2 linked regions of the Caenorhabditis elegans genome follow. The protein of the gene in region 1 purifies or fractionates together with the protein of each later gene. This does not show direct contact. Each region holds a gene or a part of one and is shown in the gene's direction. Other genes may lie near its edges.

Region 1 (4,180 bases):
ATTCAATCTTTTTGCCCGACGATAGTGACAGTGACTCGGATGATGATCCAGTTTTTGGAGTATACAATATTCGTTATACGACATCTGATGAACGACTCTTCTATATCAGATTTTATCGCTCTAGTCTTTATATTAAAAAATCCGACTGGAACCCAAAGTATGACTTTACCGATTTCTAGTTCGTTTAATTTAATTTTTGTTGTTTTTCTAGTTATAATTTTTGTTGTTTTTCCTAGTTATAATTGTTGTTGTTTTCGAATTTTATTCAATAATATTTGTGAAAAGATTGTTCTCTAAACGAAAAAATGCGGGTACGGTAGTCTGGAAAGGACGTGAAGTGTTTGCGGACCGGGCCTTTAATTTGACGAGCAAAGTTTCTTACAGATTTTTTAAATTTTTATAAAACGTTTTTTACTTTGATGTTCCGTTAAAATTCAGTTCCAATTTCTTAAAATTAAGTCAATAGGAGCTAAATTTCGTTTTTCCTCCAAACCATGTAGTTATTTTTATTCAAAATCTTGATTTAGCAGTTTCCCGGCGATAAATTGAAATGTCCACCTCTCTACGCGAAAATCAGCTCATTATTCGAGCATGTATTCTCTACGAAGCTCTCGACAAGAAGCCGATTCAAGAATCGTACAAAAATTTCTGTAGAAAAGTGGGGAAAGACGTCATGACATTTTATGAATTCGATTTTTGGTATTGGAGATTTTACCACGGAAATCACGATTTGCATTATGATAGAAGGTATTATTTTTATTCAAAAAAATGATTATAACTGAAAAATAATGAATAAGAATTTCAGCTTCGACCCAGCTCCCTCTCCCATGTCGGACATGCCCATCAATGTGATTCAAAAAATTGTAGGCTACGTGGATTCCATCGACACGTAGGAATTTTTATTTATATAAAACTAGAATATCAAGCTAAAAAATTTCAGATTGGCCCTGATGAAGGTATCGCGAAAATTTCGAAAAATTGCACAGAAGAGCGATGTTAGAATTGAAGATCTTTCTGTGATGTATCAGGAAGATGAAGAATGTTGTGAAGTTGTCTCAAATTGGCGTCATAAAATCACTTACGCACGGGATAGTTACAGTTGTAGGATTACTTATCAAAATGGAGAAGACGAAAGAAAGGAAAAATTTGTCGGAGGAGAGAATTATGTAGAGTTGTGCAACAATGATCTCAAGTTATTGATGGAAAATCGAACGGTTCAATTGAAAACTTTTAGTTTCACAGTTTTTGAATCAGAAGAAGAAGGCAATGGATTCCGCGAGAATCGCATCAAGGATATCACGAAAATTCTAAACTCCACAAAGAGCTTGATGACAAAAACTATAAAATCGACGAATCTATCGTTTCCGGAATTCGCTTCTCTGCTTTCAATCTTCCCGGCTAAGAATCTGCAAAAAATAATTTTCGAAGCGGGATTTCAACCTACACATTTTGGATACAAGCAGCTCGTCAGAATGAATCAATGGAAGATGGCTAAGGAGTTTCATGGAGATTGATCACTTTTTGAATTTCGATAGTTTTGACGTCAAATTATTGAGATTCGGTTCAGGAGATGCAATTAAATTACGAGATGTAAGTAAGATTTTGAAAATAATTGTTAGAATTTTGTAAACTTTTTCGTTTTCAGATGATTGAAAATTCTCCCGATTTCAAGGAAGCTCGAATCGCTGCGAAGTATATGGATCACGATAGAGAGGACGGAACATTTTTGTTCGACGATGCATATGATGAAGATTCTGAATATGAAGACCGCGAAACTAGCTATACAACACATGACAAGAGAGTATTTCACGTCACCATTCGCGAAAATATGTTATTCATTAGTAAATCTGACTTGAAACCGGGTTTCAACTTTTAATGTTTAGTTTAATTTAATAAAAAGTGCATTACAGGATTATGTTTTTTTCTTAGAAATGAATGAGGGGATTTGATTTTTTGTTTCAGCTCAAGCTAAATAATTCATTAATTCTTCGAATTTGAACGCTTCTGAATTAAAATTTCAACGTTTTGTTGCTTTATTTTGTTATTTCAAACAAAAAAAGCAAGCCAACATTTTCGAAAATTTTATATCGGTGTACGGTAGTTTTCGAATTCTTCAGTTTGCGGACTGAACATTTAAGTTGACGAGCAAAATAGTTTATCGAATTTCGCAACTATTTCTTCCAATTTAAACAAAATTGTAATCAAAATCTAAAAAATGTTCTTTGTGTCTTGATTCTAAATATGTTATTAATTTGCATATCCTTAGTCATTACGAGACGCCAAAAATTCAGGCGTCATAAAAAGAAGACACATGTTTTTTCGGCTAGTGTTCTCGCCAAGAAAAATATTTCTAATGAACACTCACAAAACACACAATAATCATTTTGTTTTCTTTTCTCATAGAAGATAATGCTTAACCACAAGCATACAATTTTCGTCACAAGCACTAGTTTGTTAATCTGTTTTATTGCAAATTTCATTCTGATCTACATCAGTTTATTCCATAGCAAACAGATTCAAGGAACCTATAAAATAATGGTCGTGATGTTTTCAACGTTGGGATTCTTGTTCTCCGTTTCAGAATTTATCGCAAGGCCTTTTTCTCACAATTATAACAGAGCATTAATTTTATTTAGTATTAATGATTGGATTCCTTCAAACAACTTTCTAGAAATTGCGATTCCCATTTGGATGACATTTTATCTTCTGATAATTTCATTCATAGGAATTCAATTTGTATATCGGTACCTATGTCTCTTCCATTCTACAAAAATAAGGTATTTCGACGGATCTGGCAAAGTACTTTGGATTTCTTATTTAATGATTCCTGCGATATGCTACTGTGTCGCATTTTATCAACTTCTGAGACCAAATGATGATTCCGATGAGTACCTGAGGTAGGTATGTTGTGGTTTGAAAACGCCTTTAGGCCTACGTAGGCTTCCTTTTTTACCGATGGCTCACTAACTAAATATTAATAGATTAACTTTTCAGAAACATTATTCGAGAAAACTATGATCTTGAAATTTCTACAGTTGCCCGATACATCTTAATTCCTTATAGTGATACCAATACGCTACAATGGAAAACTCTATCCCTTTTCATAGCAGCAGGAACTATTATGATTATTCAATATTTTATTGTAATATTTTTCGGGGTCAAATTGCACCTGAGAATGAAGGAGAAGCTGAGGCAATTCTCTGCGTGCCAGGTGAAATTCCAATCGCAAATATTCAAAGCTCTCGTTACTCAAACCGTTGGTCCCACCTTATTCCTGGTTTTGCCATCTGCTCCGTTCTTTCTGGCAACTCTATTATCACCTTATATTGACATGGAGATTAACTGGCAAACTGGATGGCTATATTCTTTTATTGGACTCTATCCAATATTTGATAGTATCGCATTCATATTAATTGTTTCCGAGTACCGAAAATATGTTAGAAGTGAGAAAATAGCAACGGCAAAATTCTATGATAAAATAATTTAGGTAAATTATTCTGCAAGACTAACAAGTATCCTCGAGAGTTTGGCAGCAGGATTTCAATTCGCGCAGTTCAATTTATAAATACTGCAACTGTTTCAGAGACGTAATAAAATATTATACATAGGATGAAAAATTAATAAATTTTTAATTGCAATTCTAACGATGTTCATTGTTTTCACAGCCTTTGGTTTTTTTGGTGGCGCTGAATCATAATGAGATGCCAATTAAGACACGCATTGCAAAAATAAGACGTCATAAAAAACATCTTCACGACTTCAGCCACAACAATACCATATTTGTTGCTCTTTTTTTTCATACATAGTAGAAAATGTTCAACCACCAGCACACAATTTTTTTCACAAGCACAAGTTTGCTAATCTGTTCAATATCGAATTTCACTTTAATCTACATCAGTTTATTCCATAGCAAACAGATCCAAGGAGCCTATAGAAGAATGGTCGTGATGTTTTCAGCACTGGGATTTTTATTCTCACTTTCAGAATTTATCGCAAGACCCTTTGCTCACAATTACAACAGAGCATTAATTTTGTTTAGTATTAATGATTGGATTTCTTCGAAGAGCTTTCTAGAGATTGCTATTTCGGTTTGGATGACTTTTTATCTCCTGATAATCTCATTCATAGGAATTCAATTTTTATATCGCTACATATGTCTCTTTCATTCCGCAAAAGTCAG
Region 2 (7,104 bases), on another chromosome or scaffold:
GGTTTTGATAACTTCCTTACTTTTCCCTTCTCTTCACGGCGCAGCTATCACGGTTCAGCTACTAAGCGGCAAACGCGCTCCACCGAGCAATTCCAAATTTCCAGAGATAATTTTTTAACGTACATTTCATTTAGCACGTGGAGTCAGAAAGTCCCATTTCGCTTTGATCTTCAAAAAATGCGGGAGTTGAGACGCAGATCTCATCTGATTTTTTATGGTTGAGAGCGTGCGGACGTCACAATTTTTCTGGGAAAAAATGCCGGCATTTTTTGTAGATCAAATTGTATTGAGACCGCCTGACACCACGTGATTTAGAAGTATTAAAGTAAACTCAAAAACTTTAGGCCACTTGTGTGAAAACTCTTCCACAACCCCAATTTTCAAAAATCGTATGTGCTAACTGTATATATATAAAGTTATTGAAATGAAGTATTCACAATACATAGCATAGGAATGTGCATAATTCGGCGGCCCTCCTCGACCACGGCCGGATAATCCGTTTCAAGAGGTGTGCAGTGTAGTCACTCACACACACACAAATGTGTAAATAATAAGCATATACATAAGCAACAACAGACAAAACAATCACTTGCGCGCATGCCCAGGCTTCCCGGGCGGGCGGGCTGAAGGAAGGGGGTAACCCCTTTTGTTTTCAAAATATGCCACTTTTTACCAAGATTATGTCAAGCACACCATACGATACTTTTTCGATGGAAAAATAATATTTTATTGCCGAAATTTATTTTTCGAAAAATTTTGCTCAAAAATTTTTTTCAATAAAATCTGAATTTTTTAAGCATTTAACAAATGGTTATTACGGGCGCACAAAATTCTGAGAATGCGTAATGCGCAGCATATTTTATGCGCAAAATATCTCGTAACGAGAAGTACAGTAATTTTTCTTGATGACTACTGTAGCGCTTGTGTCGATTTACGTGCTCGATTTACGAAATGCATTATTCGTATTATTTTTTGCCTAATTTTAATATTTTGTCGGTAAATGTATGATCTTAATTCATTTTGATGCGCGTAAATCGACACAAGCGTTACAGTAGTTATTTAAAGAATTACTGTAGTTTTCGCTACGAGATATTTTGAGCGCAAAATATGTTGCGCAATACGCATTATTAGAATTTTGTGTTCTCATAATATCTGAAATGGCAGTTCAAAAATTTAAAACAAAATTCTCATTCAAAGATTACCCATGCATCTTTAAACTTGGAGTATCAAATTTTGTGATGTTTTTTTTTAGTTTTCTGGAAATTCATCCGTGCGCCTTTAAATTTAAGTAGGGTATATTAATTTTTCGACTTTCTCTTCAGTTTCCAGAAAAACTCTTAATGGGCACATAAAATTTTTAATCCAATTTGTCACCTTAGGTCTCGCAGCGAAAATATTTCAGAAATTTTTATTTAAAAAAAAAGACTTTTGCTATCGATTTTTCTGAAAACTGAAAAAAATATTTTACCAACTTTTTGCATTAGTATTGTTGCAATTTCTGTCAAATTTTTCAATCTTCGATCATCTTAACCAGTTCCACGCGAATTAATTTTGATTTTTCATTCCCAATTTCCGAAGGTCATTTTGACCTGATATATCATATAAATTTTCTCCATCTCTTTTTATCTTGTCCCATAAAAAATGAACACTCCGATTTCTGATTTTCCAAAACATAAATTAATTTTTGCAATTTTTCAGCGATGCGCATACCATTTGGTTTTATTCTATTCATTGCATTTTCAACGACACGTAAGTTGATGACCGATAAACTTCTAGTTCACGTTTACCAATTTTTTACCACCATGCAAATCCTGGTGGCTTAATTTTGCACTTTTCCAGACCGATCTGAAATGTTGGTTTTTAGCTTTTCTTGTGTGGCCTAGAAACCCTGGTGACCTAGGTTTACAAAATTTCTAGGTAACGGAAGAAACCTTAATGGCCTAGTTTTCCTGAGGCCATCATGGAAATTTTGCTGGCCTATTTTACCAAAATTGTTTAGGTCACAGTGCAAAACTTGGTGGCCGAGGTTTCTACTTTTCTAGACGCTTATAAAAGTTTTCGTGGGATAGCTTTTCCTCGCAATAAACCCACATGGTCTAGCTTCTCATTTCATTTTCTAGGCCAAAATGCAAAACCTGGTGGCCTAGAAAAAATGTAATTTAACTTTTTCAGTTTCCTTCGCGCAAGACGAAAATTCTGAAGATGTGTTCGACAAACCGCTGGCAAAAGACACAACGACACCCGTAATGCCTGATAATGATGATATGCCGATGATGGCTGTTCCGAAAGAAGAAATGATGAATGAGGGGTAAGAATCGGAAAATTGTGTGATGAAAAACTGTTAAAAATTTGTAAGGGAGTAGTCGAAAAGAGGTCTTGCCGATGTTTAGTAAACCTAGGTCAGCTAGTGAGAGCTGGAGGCCGAGGTTTGAGATTTCTAGGCCAGGAGGCCTAGTTTTCTCCCAGGCCACCACCAAAAAAATGTCATAACTTTCAGATCAGATACCTTCGAGACAAGTACAGAAATGATCGAACTCTCGCCGAACGACACCTCCCTAGAAGTGAACCCAATCCAGAAAACGTCCGTCTTCTCCCCAATAACTCCGCTTGACGGCGGTATGTTCAACTTCTCCCAGGCAACAATCGAAGATGATAGTATGGAGGATCAGGATGAATCCACTGAGAAAACAACTCTCGCCGCTGAAAATACGACTGAAATGATGCCAACCACTCCCTTGGAGGTGATTACGTTCAGCTCCCTTCCGATTGAGGTTGACGAGGTCGCTGATAGACGAGTTTTGAAAGAGAAGGAGATGACACGACCCACTAAACCAGGTGAGAGGTGGTGACGTCTTAGAGGGACGTCGGGGGAGCGCATGGAGTGACGTCATGGGAAGCCGCGCGGCTGCTGACGTCATACTTATGACTCAATTTCCCGGATGCTAATTTTCCACGAAACTGAAAACTTGAAAAATGATTTATTAAGCGACGCCCATAAAACGGGCAAACCCTGTACGGACACGCCCTTAAGTTGGCGGTAAACCTGGAGACACAGTTTTAAAATTGGTTGCTCTTTGGTTTACCAAAAATAAAACTTGCTAAAAGCGTGGCATTATAGCTGGTCGAAGAAGTGGCGAAAAGTATGACGTCACCAATGGCCGAGGTTTTTCTCTTCCAAATTTCCAATTTTACAGTGACCACAACCCAATCCACCGTCGCAGTAAGTGACCCATCAGAAGCTGGAGATGACGGAGAAACACCATTTGATCAAAGTGCACTGGAAGGACTTTTTGAGCAGGATGGAAGTGTTATTGATAGCTCATTGAGCACAGATCAGAGCCCCGCATTCCCAATTCTGAAAATGTCTGAGGAAGAGCCAAAGATTTTGTCGAATATCCCGAAAACTACGAAGCAGATGGTCGAGAGCACTACGACTGGGTGAGTTTTTTTTTGAGTTTTTTCGGAAGTTAAAAATTTTGAATATTGATAAAAAAATTTATTATTTTTTGTCGAAATTATTTTTTGTTCTGATAATATTCAGATTCTTCACAAATGTTTGTTTTAAAAAATTTGCAAAAAAACCGTTCTCACAGCTTTATGGGGTCTGCAGCTTCACCCTACCAACCTGCCGTGGCCTAGAAATTTTCGAGGTGGCCTAGTAAATTCAAAAATCTCTTAATTTTATATTCAAGTATTTTGATTGCAAAATTTAAAAGTGTAGAGCACATATCTGACTAGGGAGTGTTTTAACTATACGGTGCGATCGAGTAAAAGTAAACGTGTCATGCGATAGCTGGCATCTTAGGCTTTCAGAATCTGTAATTTGTTCCGGCGGAAGACCTCTGTGAGTCTGGAAATTTTCATCTGAAAATTTAGTACTGAAATCAGTGCATTTCCTATGGTTAACAGCTTCGAAGCGATGTTTTCGCCCTTCCACCATTGTGGTGAGACTTCTGTTGGCGCCAGAGACAAAAATCCACTGTTAACCATAGGAAATGCAGATTTCAGTACTAAATTTTCAGATGAAAATTTCCAGACTCACAGAGGTCTTCCGCCGGAACAAATTACAGATTCTGAAAGCCTAAGATGCCAGCTATCGCATGACACTTTTACTCGATCGCACCGTATAGTTAAAACACTACCTAGTGAGTTTTGCTGGTTCGGAAGTGTTCATATATTGCAGGAAAAAATTCAAAACTTCAAAATTTTCAGAATGAAATCCTCTTCAACAATGGAAACTACAAAAACTATGGAAACCACAATGGACACAACCATGGCCGAAACCGAGCCATCAACCCTCTCCACTGACGTCACTACCTCCTCCGAAGAGACCACCTCCACCTCATCAGAGGAATCCACGACTTTTGAAGATATTTCAACTGTGCCGGTGGCACTTCAAAACTCATCGAAAGTATTCCTTCCGGCTAAATCCATTCGAACACCAATAGTTTTTCGTATTATTTCACTGGAATTTGTAGAGGAATTCAACGATATTCAGAGTGGCCCTGCGAAGAGATTAGCGAAAGATTTGGTGCCAGCGGTGAGTCAAAAATGGATAATGGATTATTGACATTTGGGAAAAATCGATATTAAACTGATTTTTGAAGATAGTAGTTGAACCTGTTATATTTAAGAATTGCATGGCTGTTGCTCTTTTTTTTTTTTTTTTTTCTTTTTTTTAAAAGAAATTTTTCTTGTTTTCACTAAATTTTCTCTTTTGTTTTCATCTCGCGTGGCCTAAGCCTAAGCCTGAGCTTAAGCCTAAGCCTAAGCCTAAGCCTAATAGTAAGCCTTTGTGGAAAATTTTGAGTTAGACTTCAATATAGATTTAGACTAGTTATTTTAAAAATGATCTGAAAAAAATCAATTTTAAACAATTATTGATTTTTTTCCAGATCGGAGAATTCATCAATTCCATTTCGGGAGACGACAATTTTGTGAATGTTGAAATCAAGTCACTGACCAAAGGATCAGTGGTTGTCGGAGCCGACGTGCTCACCAAAAAATCACTTGGTGATGCTCAAATGGCTGTTAATTTGTGAGTTCTTACCGATTAGAAATATTTTATTACCATTTTTTGAGGAAAACTCTAAAAAATCGATTATCAACGCTATCGACTTTTATCGAAAAAAGTAAAATTTAGAAAAAAATATCGATAGTCAATTTTATCGATTTTTGATTTGTTCGGGGTTTCCGTAGGAATCGTCTATATGATAGATTTTTGAAAAATGATTAGTAAAATCGATAATCGATAATCGACTTTAGTTCAATTTTTGGAAAAAATTTAGATATTAACTTTTTCATTGATTTATAGGTTTTCCGGGGGAATATCAAGTTAATTGTATCAATTTTTCAAAAACTTTCAAAAACTTTCAAAAAAATCGATAATTGATTTTTTTAACATTTCAGGTTCGAAGCCGCATTTTCACGCAATAACTCTATGATTTCGGATTACAAGATTGATTCGTTGAGTGTTACTGTTGACGGTAAGTAATTATTGATTTTTTCCAAAAAAATCAATAATTTCCAGGAATGACGTCACAAGCGTACATCGATTCTATTTCCACGCAAACTTCATCATATTCCTTATCATCGCTGATGATTGTAATCATCACTTTCGCATTGGTCATCATTTTCGGATTGGCGATCTTCATTATCATGGTATGTGCCTTTAAATGCCGCAGCATGGCCTAGAAAACTCGGCCGCCAAAGTCCGTGGCCGAAGTGTTGTGTTTTCTAGGCCATGCGTCTTTAAAAATCAATAAATCTCGCTCAGATCACCACAAAACGGCGACGTCAATCGACGATGAAGCTGAGCATGGACGACACGATCCGTAGCAACACACCGGAATCCGACGACGCTCCGCATAACGTGCATTTGTGAGTTTTTCGTGGCGAGACCCTGAACAATTTTGAATGTTTTTTTTAAATTTTCGATTCACTCGAAAAAGTGGAAAAATCGATTTTTTTATCCAGAAAATTATTTAAAATTATTAAATTTCTGCCACCGTCCATTTTGTGGGCGTGTCATTGCCTCACAAAAAAATTTCCAGAATGTCATACGGAACAACGCCTAGACCATCTCAAAAGCAGCCGGGACCAATCACAAAAACACAAATCGACGAGACGAGCTCACCTATGTATTGATTTATCGATTTTTTTTCAATTTCTTAAATATCGATTTTTTTGGATTTTAAAAATTGATTTTTATGATTATAAAAAATCGATTTTTTTGATTTTTCCAAATCAGATTTATTGATTCTAGTGATTTTTAATCAATAATCAACAATATAATCGATTTTCAAAAAATCAATAAAATTTAATTTTAAAATTCAACATTATCGATTTTTCAAATTGTTCAAAATTCTTCCGAATTTCTCATCTCATTTTCTAGGTTACCTCTTCTCTCATTTAACCCATTTTTCCGACAGATTTTGAGCCAAGCTCCGCCACCCGCCTCGGGGCTCCCCCGAGAAACCTCTGGTGCGCGCCCTTTCTGTAAATAATCATTTTCCCGTCCGTTTCCCCCTACTTGCCATATCATCGATATATTCCGTTTATTTATTGGATAAATTTTTTTGCAAACAAAAATTTTATTTAAAAAAAAAGAAATTTGAAATTTCAACAAATATAGTTACAGGCCAAAAATCGGTAATTAAACAATCAAATCGAAAAACATTTAAAAAAAAACAACAAAAAATGATACAGACTTTTAAATCTCGTTCTCTAAAGATCGAGCTCGGTGAAGAACTGGCGTCCGTCGCCAATGTCCTTTCGATCGCAATACGGTACGGCCTTAAACTGGCACACTTTTTTGCCGTTCACGTCGAAACAGAACTCCTTGTAGCACGAAGAGCACAGATAGCCTGGCGAGTTGGGAAGCAGATTGTCGTGGTCGACGATCATCCAGCTGAAAAAATTGGATTCAATTGATGATTTTTGCCTTAATCGATTCTCTTTGGATTTTTTTTTCGAAAATTCGAACTCCGATAAAAACTATATTTTTCGGGGGTTTCACAAAAAATTCCGAATTTCTAAATGCTACTACTCACTGCGCCGACGCCTCCTTGCACGTGTCACATGCAATTCTTCTGAAATTCCGTT

What was found. Proteins that work in one complex are often made in the same cells at the same time.
Region 2: the proteins of str-57 (region 1) and Y48G1BR.1 fractionate together in Caenorhabditis elegans (co-fractionation; one large-scale study listed by BioGRID). This does not show direct contact.

The regions. Positions count from the first base shown.
Region 1 is NC_003283.11:15,868,761-15,872,940, forward strand, and holds str-57 (Seven TM Receptor), read left to right. Parts: upstream 1-1,895; 5' UTR 1,896-2,409; coding exon 2,410-2,897; intron 2,898-2,994; coding exon 2,995-3,443; intron 3,444-3,487; coding exon 3,488-3,591; 3' UTR 3,592-3,638; downstream 3,639-4,180. Other genes in the region: fbxa-197 (F-box domain-containing protein), read left to right, coding at 1-179; str-56 (Seven TM Receptor), read left to right, coding at 3,813-4,180.
Region 2 is NC_003279.8:253,752-260,855, reverse strand, and holds Y48G1BR.1 (SEA domain-containing protein), read left to right. Parts: upstream 1-1,698; 5' UTR 1,699-1,700; coding exon 1,701-1,749; intron 1,750-2,172; coding exon 2,173-2,308; intron 2,309-2,497; coding exon 2,498-2,835; intron 2,836-3,194; coding exon 3,195-3,438; intron 3,439-4,212; coding exon 4,213-4,540; intron 4,541-4,895; coding exon 4,896-5,038; intron 5,039-5,409; coding exon 5,410-5,486; intron 5,487-5,530; coding exon 5,531-5,661; intron 5,662-5,776; coding exon 5,777-5,880; intron 5,881-6,053; coding exon 6,054-6,147; 3' UTR 6,148-6,589; downstream 6,590-7,104. Other genes in the region: snpc-3.2 (snRNA-activating protein complex subunit 3), read right to left, coding at 6,727-6,910, 7,053-7,104.